Coturnix japonica: one gene and its partners. The protein of the gene in region 1 interacts with the protein of each later gene in a biochemical or structural test. Links are inferred from orthologs where the notes say so. Each region holds a gene or a part of one and is shown on either strand. Other genes may lie near its edges.

Evidence for each region.
Region 2: the proteins of MAGI1 (region 1) and NET1 form a complex in vitro, tested with the Homo sapiens proteins (3 studies listed by BioGRID and IntAct, with this or other methods). The link is inferred for Coturnix japonica from reciprocal best matches to the Homo sapiens genes MAGI1 and NET1.
Region 3: the proteins of MAGI1 (region 1) and CYSLTR2 interact in a test that uses a peptide from one of them, tested with the Homo sapiens proteins (2 studies listed by IntAct, with this or other methods). The link is inferred for Coturnix japonica from reciprocal best matches to the Homo sapiens genes MAGI1 and CYSLTR2.

What each region holds. Positions count from the first base shown.
Region 1 is NC_029527.1:11,736,800-11,740,872, reverse strand, and holds the start of MAGI1 (membrane-associated guanylate kinase, WW and PDZ domain-containing protein 1), read left to right. Parts: upstream 1-1,175; 5' UTR 1,176-1,611; coding exon 1,612-1,900; intron 1,901-4,073. UniProt on the Homo sapiens protein: Plays a role in coupling actin fibers to cell junctions in endothelial cells, via its interaction with AMOTL2 and CDH5. May regulate acid-induced ASIC3 currents by modulating its expression at the cell surface.
Region 2 is NC_029516.1:1,134,373-1,138,101, forward strand, and holds the end of NET1 (neuroepithelial cell-transforming gene 1 protein), read right to left. Parts: intron 2,880-3,729; coding exon 2,693-2,879; intron 2,357-2,692; coding exon 1,959-2,356; 3' UTR 642-1,958; downstream 1-641. UniProt on the Homo sapiens protein: Acts as a guanine nucleotide exchange factor (GEF) for RhoA GTPase. May be involved in activation of the SAPK/JNK pathway Stimulates genotoxic stress-induced RHOB activity in breast cancer cells leading to their cell death.
Region 3 is NC_029516.1:151,149,594-151,153,240, reverse strand, and holds part of CYSLTR2 (cysteinyl leukotriene receptor 2), read right to left. Parts: intron 1,176-3,647; 5' UTR 1,149-1,175; coding exon 207-1,148; 3' UTR 1-206. UniProt on the Homo sapiens protein: Receptor for cysteinyl leukotrienes. The response is mediated via a G-protein that activates a phosphatidylinositol-calcium second messenger system.

The DNA of each region.
Region 1 (4,073 bases):
CTTCTGCATTTCCCTTTGCTCCCAGGGAGGCAGACTCTGCTGTGCTCCTTGGAAGGGGCTCTGTTATTCATTCCAGCATTCCGAGCCCTGGCAATCCCATAAGCTTCCCATGGAGGCATGCAGAGCACAGGGCTGACTGTTGTGCTGCTGTGCTCTGTCAATGGGACAAAACATGCCCATTCCCTGGCCTGAAGGTGGCTGTGCCACTCAGGCTGGAGAGCACAGCTTCTGTGGCTGCAGAGCATTACCTGCAGTGAATGGGAATTTGAGGAAAAAGCTGTGGGAGGGATCTCAGCTGCAGGGAAGCAGTGATGGGGATGCTGAGTATGAGAGAAGGATGGGATCCTCTCTTTCACCTGGGACAGATGGAAGGGCTGGGAAACTGCTGTCACCCCACTTTTGGGGTCTGGGAACCAAGCCCAGCTGAGCTGCAGCCACAGCTGTTGCGTACATCCCCCGGCCTGTTGGCATCACAGATCGTTTGGGTACATGCATGGCTGGAGAGATGAGGGCACACGAGAGGGCAGCGCAGGGAACAAGAAGAGGCTTTGCTCCTCAGTGTCACTTCTGAGTTCTGATTAGCACTGAAACAGGGCAGGCACTCATCTGACAACCAAACTCCTTGCTGAACGGGGATCGGCCATGCATTAGGCTGCTCAGAATGTGGCCCGGCTTTCAGGTTTGGAGGTACAGAGTGTGAGTGGGGAGGGACAGCTGGTGCAGGCACGAGTACAGTCCCCACTAGAGTTTTTGCACGAGTTCTGGTTAACTTCGAAGAGCTGCGGCTAAAGGTGGCTGGATGGATGCGCACCATTTCTCCCCACCAGAAAGTGCAGATCTGTTCTGCGTGGGAAAAACAAAAGGCGAGAACATCGCTGACATCAGAAATTCGGGCACTTCAGAGCAGACAAGCGGAGAAGCTCGTGCAGTCCTTCCCACCGAAGGCACAGGTGGGCACAGGTGGGCTCCCACTCCGCACCTGCACAACTCGCACGGTCCTCGGCCAAGCTCAGCACCCACCCACCGCCCCTCGGGACCTCCGCGTGCCCGGCTCTCCCGAGGGTCGCTCCGCCTCCACCCGCCCGGAGCCCCGCGCGGCTCGAGCCGGGTTGCGGGGCCGGCCCGGGGGCGGGGAGGCGGGCGGGGGCCGGGGCGGGCCGTGTCAGGGCGCCTGCGCCGGCGGTGCGGAGCGCGGCGGAGCGGGACGGAGCGAAGTGAAACAAAACAAGCGGGGCTTTGTAGCGCCTTAAAGGCGCCGAGTCCGCGACCGCGGAGACAGAGAGAGAGAGAAAGAGAGCAGAGGGTGGAGGAGAGAAAACAAAGCGGCCCCGCGGCGGCGGAGAGAAGGAGGGCGAGAACGAGCCGGATTTTGCTTACTGAGCACTTTTTACATTTTTTACATTTTTTTTTCTTTTAGTTTTTATTTATTTTTTTTTCCTTAATTATTATTATTATTTTAAAGTCCTTTCCGCGGGCGCGGAGCCATGCGGGCACGGCGTCGGCGGTGATGGCTGTGAGCGGGCGGCTCGGAGAGGTCTATGAGGCAGCGGGTCGGAGCCCCTGCGCACCTGCTTAACCCGCCGCCGCGGGCGCGGAGAACCGCGCAGCGCCATGTCGCGGGTCGTCCAGAAGAAGAACCACTGGGCCAGCCGGGTGCGGCAGTGCGCGCTGAGCCGCGGGCCCGGCGGGCAGCTGGGCTTCGTCCTGCTGGGCGGCGCGGAGCACGGCGAGTTCCCCTACGCGGGCGCGGTGGCGGCCGGAGGCGGCGAGCAGTCGCTGTGCGAGGGGGATCTGCTGCTGGAGGTGCAGGGGGTGCGCGTCTCCGGGCTGCCGCGTTACGACGTGCTGGAGGTGATCCGGAGCTGCAAGGAGCCCATCGTAGTGAAAGCCGTCAAACAAGGTGCGAGGGGCCGGGGGGTGTCCGAGCGTGGGGAAGGTGCGGGAAGGGAAAGGTGAACGTTTTCCCTTTGGGCAGCGCAGGCTGAGCGAGGAGCGAGGTTGCTGCCCGTGTCACGCTTGCACACACGCGGGTGCTCACCTTTGCCACGTGCAAGCGTGCCTCCGAGCGCCTGCATCCCTACGGCTCCTCGCGCGTTCCTAGTCTGTGTTAAGTGATTGCGGGGCCGGCATCTGGTACTGGGGCACGGGGTGCTGGGTTCCCCACTCCCGCAGTCCCGCATCGCTCCCTGCAGCGATGGTGGATGGAGACTTGGCCAGAAGTGAGCGTGAGCTCCGTGCCTGTGTGGGACCGTCGCTTGTGGGAGGGGGAGTGCTGTCACTCGTCCCTTAGGGCTGCTCGTCTCCGGGTTAAGGCCAGCGTAGGGCTGCTGCCCCTTAGGTGAGGGCGCACACAGGTATAGCTCTGTGGCTGGGCCGGGGGCCGGAACAGCAAGAGACCTTTAGAATCCACTTTGTATCCATGTAGACGCTGCAGTGATACAACAGGTCAACGTCAAAAGCGTGGCAACCAACTTGCAGTTTCCAGGGCAGGACTGGAATTCAGCGCCAGGAAACTGCCCGTGTTGCTGCTATGGGATGGGTGGGACGACAGATGGGCACCTGCGATGACAGCTGTGAGGAAGGGAGGAAGGAAGGGCAGGTTCCGTAGGGAGAGTCGTTAGGAGAAAGTTTGTCGTGGTCCAGGCGCATCACGAAGTTTGGGGGTGTGCAGTGGGTGGAGCTGCATGGAAGCGCAGCCATTCATCGGTAATTTGAAACAGGTTACCAATGTGCGGTTACAGTAACATTTGGAACAGACTGCCAGGGGAAGTAGTGGAGTCTCAGTCCATGGAGGTGGTTAAGGGCTGATGTGGTACTTAGGGACACGTGCAGTGTTGGTGGTGGGTGGATGGTTGGACAGGATGATCTTAGAAGTCTTTTCCAACCTTAGTGATTCTAGGAACATTCACATTGTAGAGATATTCCAGCAAACAGTGCCAAACTCCATCAAACCCAGCTGTCTTTAACGCCTGCTCTCCCTGCTGCTGGGGAACAGAGTGGTCGGTGCAGGCTGCCCTGACAGGATGGGGGGGAAGCAGGAGGCTGAAGTATGGGGAAACAGGGCAGGTTTTGGTGTACCAGTTGTTGTAGTAGGTGTTAAAATACAGCCTGTGATGTTGCAGTGTGGTTGGTGTGTGAAGGAAGGTGTGCGAGTCCTTCCCAGCAAGCGACTGGTGATTAAACTTTTGGTTGTTTTGGAAACATTCATTAGTCTAAATAGAAACTTGTCTTTGAAACATACCAGAAATGACAGAATTTGATGGTAAACACACCTTGGCTCCAGGATGGTTGAAACGGGAGGAGTTTGTAGGGTGCTGGTTGGGATTTCCTGGAGCTGGGGAGAAAAAAGTTCAAAGCTGTGCCTGGAGTCGGGGCAGGCACTTGAGCCTTGCATCATCCATACCCAGAGGGGAGAGCCAAGCCTGGTTATGGTGATGATGATGATTGCTTTTTGAATGCTTTGTGAGAATGAAATGTAGAATAGAAATATATAGTTTTGTCTATCACTCATTTTCTTTCTTTCTTTGTGGTTTGGAAATCATTCTATGTGCTTCTCAATGAAAGCCTGGCATCTGTGTGCTGCTTTGCACTGAGCAGGGAGCTCCCTCGTGGGTCAGGATTCCACGCGTAGGAAAGGAGAGTGTTTGAATTAAAATACATTACTCCTTTGCTGATTAAAAAGCTCATTGTGGGGATGGCAGCTGTCATGCGACAGGAGGCGTGTGGCACTGGAGCAGGCAGTGAAGGAATGTGATGATGAGGGTGTAAGCACGCATCTCCTCCTCTTCCCAGTGTGTGGTGCCTGGTCTGCTGGTGCTGCAGCACTAGGGTGATCTTGGCCTGGTAATGTATACATTTTACTGCCTGGTCTATTTCGTATGACATTTACAAGGCTGGAAAAACAGGAAATTTACTATAAATGAGTCAGTCATCTATGAGCACAAACAGAGAAAATAGGTGTTCTGACCTTGCAGTTAGTGGACAACAAGGGACTGGGATGTGAAACTAAGGTCAAATAAGCTGTGCACGTGTTCTGTCGTTAAACTGAGGTTTATAGACTTGCAGGTCCACAT
Region 2 (3,729 bases), on another chromosome or scaffold:
ACTGCAGGATTTCCTGTCCTTTGAGGACGAGCCACGCGCACCCACAGCTCATAATGCCTTATTTTCTCCTGCAAAAAGAGTTGTTGTTTTTTTTTTTTTTCTTTCCCCCCAACATCATTTATGCTCCTAAAGGCAGAGGGCTGAGCCCCTTCCAGCTCAAAACTTGCATTCAGTGGGTAAAAATGGTGCTGCAAACGCTGCCTTCTGGCACACAGCCCTGGGAGACCCAGGGGAGTCGGCGTGGAGCTGTGCCCATACGCTGCCATACACGGTCAGCCCCACAGTGCTTGGATAGGGAGTAGTTATCACCGCTGTTTCCTCCTACCCCAGAACGTACAGCAAGCTCTGCAGGCTCTGCAGTGAGTCACGGAGCTGTGCCCTGTTTTACAGCACCCACCCGTCGCACACGTAGGGCGGCGTCAGGCCGCGTGCAGGGCCATAAACCATTCGCTCATTATTTCAGGGAAAAAAGGGAAGGGTTGTGACACAGCACAGCCTTCCTCTGAATTCGGGGCCTGGAATGTCTTGGAGAGACTGGGGACAGGAGAAGTGTCAGCTGTGAGCTTATCTCCTCTGTATGAGCTCAGCCTTATAGCCCCGGCAGCATTATCGCGTCCCACCCAGGCAGCGACTCAGACAAGCAGGAGGCCATCAGGAATTTAATTGTACTTGGCACTTGAAACTGTACAAAGACATTCATTTACAGAGAACCGTGCGGGTTTGTGTCTGTGTGAACCCTCTTCCCATTTCCAACGTGACCCAACAGGCAGGACTTCACCATTGAGTCCTCAGGTTGGTGTCGTGGTGGTTGGTGTTGTGGGATCGCCTTCAGCCATGCCATAGAGACGATGTTTTGGCTTTGATCAGAGCTGTCACCGCTTTGTTTCCTCCAACACTTTGCAGCACAGGTTCCAAGCTGGCATCTCACGGGAATCTTTGGATCACTGTAGAACATGGCAATGCCTGCCGTTACGCGGCTATATACAGTCGCCATCTCTTTTGCCCTTAACTCATCAGCTTCAGCTGCTTGCTTTCCTCTACGCTTTCTTTTCTCTATGCTCTCTACCACATGCAATATCCTCTTGGTCGCCTCCAACCCTGCCTCCCACGGGCAGTGAGAGGCGTTTCATTTGACAACACAACAATAAAGCTACTCTCGCTCCCTCTATTTCCCTCTATCTGCTCTTCTTCCCTCCCCAAACCCTTTTGCAACGTGCCTAAAACCTTCCTACACCCCATTACAACCCAGTTCTGTGAGTGACGTGAGAAGCGATTTGTACATCTCTGAACAGGAAGGATTGAGGACTCGAAAGGAAATGCCAAGTCCAACAAGAATACAAAAGTAAAAAAAAAAAGGAAGAAAAACAAAGAAAAACGAAACAAAAAATACCCCCAAACCAACCCGAAACAAAACAACTAATTAAAAATAAAAAACCAATTAAATACGTGGCAGGTTACGTGAGTGACGATGAGGAATGTACAAATGGACACTCAAAAATGAACAATTCCAGTAGGTAAGTTGAGAACCTGTTGAACTTGGGGTCTGTTTTCCTGCAAGAAGCAGGAAGAAAATGGTTGTTTCAGCTTTGGAACGTGCTTGTAGCACTGATGTGACCTCAAGGAGGGACTGTGGCCAGGCTCTGGGTGATGGCACAAACCACAACCACCAGACGTGGAAATCTTTCCGAAACCAAAAGGTGTTTGTCCAAACTCTGCTGTGAGGTGGTCAAAATGTTGTCTGACACTGTCAGAGCAGCCACGTTATATACAAAGAGAAAACAGACTCCAGTTCAACAGTGTTAACTGCATACCAGTAGCTGCCATTACAACATAAAGGAAAACAAACCAAAAGACGCTTCTGTTCAGTAGAGCCAATCCAATCGTGCTCACATGACAAGAAAAATGTACACGTTATTTATAAATAAACAGTCCTGCCAGGATGGCATTGGGCTCCTCCCCTACACCAGCGTTTCTTTCCTCTTGCTCAGCTGCTTCTCCCTCGTTTTCCTGTGCCCAGAGAGTGTTCTGTGTGTTTTCGTGCCCTTGGCTTCCTCTGAGTCCATGATGGAGCTGCACTCAGCTATGCTCTCATCAAGATCCATCTCAGTGATGCCCGACATGGCCGACTGCCTCTTCTGGGCTCTGATGTTGGGCACGGAGGGGTTGTTTTCCTCCGATTCCTCGCTGAGCTCTGGCAGCTCCTTCAGCTCTGGGGCAGCACTGGCTCTCTGGAAGGGAGCAATGGCTGTTCGGATGCAGTTCACCCATTGCTGCTTGTGGAAGATATCGTTGGCCTGCAGTGTGTGGGACTGGCCTGGGGAGGGGTCTTGGAAACGAACTCGGAAGATATTTTTAGCTGAAGGTAAACATAGGAAAAAGCAGATCAGTTTTGAGCTCGCTATTCAATTTCCATTATTAGACAAGCGACCCAATCTGCCCTGTTTTGCTTCAGGGAAAGCGTTCAACGTCTCACCAACGTTCCCCCCCCCCCCCCTCCAAAAATCCCCAGCACTGATACACTGAAGTCTTTTCTAATCTTAGCACCGACTGCAAGGCGCCATATAAAAGTTTACAGCTTCCAGATACAACACTGCAGAGCTCAACAGTGACAGCACCGTGGTGGATCCCATAGGGATCCATGCCCGGACGTTCCCTCTTGCCCTCAAACAAGATGGGTTGGGTTGCTTTATACCTTTATCTGAATTGCCAAATGCTCCTCGGAAGGAGCCTCCCATTTTCACATCGCCGTCCTGCAGGTCCTCCAGGATCAGCTCCTGCACAGGGATGGGCTGCCTGTACACCTGGTAGGACTGACGCTCATTGCGAGTGACCGGCCGGGTCAGAACCAGGATGTCTTGGAAGAGGAAGACGTAGAGTTTCTGAAAGGGAAAGCGTGTTTGAGTACGAGGAAAGCACTGTGTTCTATCTGCCAAGTGTTTACACACCCTCTGGAATTCAAGGCCACATTATCTCAAGTCTCACCCATGTTAACTTTCGGATGGTTTTCTATTGCAGTCACGTAGGGCTCTGACAGTGATGACATACACAGGACTAAAACCAACATAGACTTATTGCCTTATGACCCTGAAATTGGATTATAATGTGCAGATGGCGAGGGTAGAACACGTGGGTAGAAGCAATACATCTCCTGCCTATGTAAAATGCTTCATAGAGTCACAGAATGGCCTGGGTTGGAAGGGACCTCAAGGGTCACAAAGCTCCAAGCCCCCAGTGCAGGCAGGGCTGCCAACCTCCACATTGAATACCAGCCCAGGCTGCCCAGGGCCCCATCCAACCTGGCCTTGAACACCCCCAGGGATCGATGGGGCATCCACAGCCTCTCTGGGCAGCTGTTCTAGCACCTCACTACTCTCCCTGTCAAGAACTTCACATCTACTGTGGCAAAAAGAGTGAATTAAACAAACCAATCAACCAGAAAAGAAAAAAAGAAAGAAAATAGAAAAAGATTTCATGTTTAAACTGAGGCTAAGTCAGAACAAAAGGCAGCAAACCCTTGAGTACAGCAGGTTCTTTCAGGGCTGCTGCAGTGGGAGATAAACTCTTGGCAGTTCATCTCTAAGCCAAACAGGCTTTTGCAGGAACGCTTTTGTTTGGAAGAACTGTGGCCAGTGTTCACAATGGGGAATGTCAGAGCACCTGAAAGTAAACAGCTGGCAGGAAATCCCTTCTGATGGAGTGCTGGGGCATGGAGCAGACTTTCTACAGTAA
Region 3 (3,647 bases), on another chromosome or scaffold:
TCACACCCAGGCACCTGACCTCCAATCACCTGCACTGCTGAGCTCCTGTCTTGGTATTGACCATCCTCACTGAACTTTATCCCAAACACTTTTCTTCCCAAGATGCCTGGCACAGTGCAGTATGGTCAGCAGCACATTCATTCATCACGTAGTATGGATGCAGTCTAGATGTCTTGGCAGGAGTGCAGGAACGTAATACTGCAATTCTACACAAGCATCCTTCGGTATAAACTTCTGATTCTTGCTTTGAAATTTTCAGCTGCAAAGTAATATAGCACAGGGTCCAGGCAGCTGTTGGTGGCAGCAAGGCAGAGTGAGACCACCTGTGCTTTGTGCACGAACAGATTGGCTGGGCTGCAGCCACCGAGCACTAGGTAGACTGTCCGCAGTACGTGGTACGGAAGGAAACACAGAAAGAAGAGGATGAGAGTGATGATGATGGTTGACAGTGCTTTCTTGTGACAGACTGCCTTCTTGCGCTGGGGTGTCTTGGACTTGAGCAGCGCTCTGATGGCAAAGATGTAGCAGATGATAATTGTGCAAAAAGGCAAGATGAAGCCCACAGCAAGGACAAAGCTGTTCATCATGAGGAGCCTGTGCGTGCTGCTGGGGTGGAGGTCCAAGCACTTGGCTGGGTTTTTGTACCCGGCAATTACTTTGCTCAGCAGAGGACTGGAGGCTGCCAGAACGAAGACCCATATCACTGCACACATTATCTTGGCATACTTCATGTTACTTACTTTCCAGCTCTTGAATGGGTAGACGATGGCCATGAAACGAACCACACTGAGCACGGTGAGAAAATAAATGCTGCAGTACATGTTCACATACATGGTGTACGTCATGATCCTGCAGAGGATATCACCAAACACCCACTGTGATCCTAACAGATAATAGGTGGCCCGGAAGGGCAAAGTGCTCACAAACATGAGATCCGAAACTGCCAAGTTCTGCATGTAGATGTTTACTGAGGTCTTCCTCTGGGAAGGCTGGAGGAAAACATATATGGAGAGGCTATTTCCAACACTGCCCAGGAAGAAGATTAAGAGGTACGCAATGGGATAAATGACTTGCTTGAAGGCATCCGTGCTACAGGTGAATGAGCTGTTAGTGGAGCTGTCATTTAGCGTCATCTCAGAAAAATTCATTGTCTGGAGTGGGAGCTCTCTGCCTTTCTGCAAAAGTATAAAGAAGTAAAGTGAGTGCAGAGCTGCAGCCTCTTCAGGGAGATCAGTGCTAGGACTGTTTCACATGGCAGAAATGAGAAGACACGTTGGAAATTAAAGCTTCCTGAATGACTAATCACTGTGATGTCTCTGTAAATGAACACACCAGCTCTAAATGGTTTCAGTATTACAGCAGCTGGTTTGTTGTTTTTTTTTTTGTTATTTGTTTTTTGTTTGTTTTTTGTTTTTGTCTCAAATTATGAGAGAACTGTCTTTTAGAAGTGGATGTTATGCATTCATTTTAATGGCAATTCCCCGGCCTTCTCAAAGCAAAATAAGCCAACTTGACATTGGCCATTTTGCAGCAGGAGGTTATGAGTTCCTGGATACCACCCATGGAACCTTCAAAAACTGATCAGTAAAAGAAGTCATCATCCACCAGTAAGTCTGAGCTTCAAATTAGGATGGAAAGTCAAAGTAACTGTATTTGCCAATATGAACCAGCCTAATCTTCCTAGAACGATATCTGCTGTTGACAGCACGTCACTCAATATGCCTGAGTGATAGCAAGAACACACTGATGTACTTCAATGTGTATAAATTAATGATGTTTTGATCTGAAACACTATAAATACTGTTCTCATTCAAGGTTCTTTTTTAACTCCCTCCCCCTCATACTGTATTTCTTCTTTCCTCTAGTTAGTTTCCTAGGTCTCTATTTGTGGGGTCTTTTCTTCATTCACTACTTTTCCAGCCTTTTGTGTGCTCATTTCTTTCATCAGACATTCATCTATATGGCAGCCTGAATTAGCAGCCCTAATAAAAATGGCCTGTGGAAAACAGGCTATTTCCATAGAAAGTGATATTTTCACTCCCACAAGGCTATATTTCAATCAAATCAAAACAACCGGTCAATAAAACACTCTAAATAGTATACACATTTTTTTTTTCTTTTTAATGTACTTGCTAAACTCCTGATTTTTTTCTCTCTGATGATCTGTAAGTAGTAGTATTTTAAAATCATAGAATTATAGAATACCCTGAAATTGAAGGGATCTGTAAATGTAATCAAGTCCAACTCCTAAAGGGAGGTCTCTGGTTCTGCTACTTGTTTAACAATGGGACAGAAATGCCCTCTCTGCAACTGCCAGCACATCCCAGAAACGCACTGAAAAAATTTAGCCTAAAAAGCAGAACAATATGAAATTTCCAAGTGCATGAAAAAAGTTTTAATACATCCCAGTGAGAAAGATAAGGGCCTAGTGGTATATGCTTGCAGGTTATGTCTTTTTTTTTGGACCTCACAGGCTTCATAATTTTGAATAAAGTTATTTGTGTTCTTGGAATTTCACTACGGGGAAAGCTTGGGCACCTTGGACTACCACTTACACACTATAGCACTGGCAACACTGCTGTAAATGGAAATTAATTTGTGCACTCAGATACTTTTCTGTGGTACAAGAGCTGCTCTATGTTGAGGGCAGCCAGTGACCTCTTCAGGGCTCTGTGTCGGAGTACAGATCCCTTAATACAGCAACCAGATGTGCCCCAGAAGTTATTTTTTGTGGCCAAACAGAGCATGGGAAATGGAGCCTGCCCAGGCTGGGCTCCTAAGAAGCAGAGCTTATCCCCTGTAGCAGGATGGGAATGCGGCAGTTTGGGCTTGGGGAACAGGGGCTTTCACTAACAACAATAATGTGACCATCCCTGCAGGGCTTGAAACCATCCCTCCAAGAAACAAGGACAATAATGTCTATAAAGTGTAGGAGTGCTGAAGACTGGAACTTGGCAAACTGAACACTCGTTCCCCCCTAAAGAAAATCTCCTCCTTATTTGAAAGTCTCTTCGCCAGTGTAGAGGATAGGCAACGTAAGCTTCCCAACAAAACAATTGCAGTCCAAGGAGATCTCATAGAATCATAGAATCACAAATGGCTTGGCTTGGAAGGGACCTAATAAATCACCTAATTGCAAGCCCCTTGCCATGGGCAGGGTTGCCACCCACCAGGTCAGGCTCTTCTCAAGGCTCAATCCAACCTAGTTTTAGTACCCAGTACAAAGTTACTGTCTGACATCAAAGTTTTCTGTGTGGGATCAGGAAACATCTCTTCTTCTAATGGAAGTTGGCCCCCCTGTTTTACAGGGAGTCATCACAGATTGATGTACTTCAAAGAGAAGAGACTTTTGATGGTGCGTTGCTATTAGGGCAAGAGAGAGAGCACATCTGCAGAGCAAAGGAAAGGGTGGCTTTCCTGAAATAACTGCTGTGTAAAGTATATCAGTGGGAGCCTCTGTGCCATGCTGCTGGCTTGATAGTAGTGATAGTGTAGGATATACAGGTGAAGGAGTGGCACTGTGCAGGAAGGACTGTGTAACTAGCAATTGCATACAAATATTATGACTGAAAGTCCTTGTGGACAGTCATTCCATCTTCTCATAATGAAAAAATTTAGTACTAAGGTTATGCTACCAAACTCCTCAC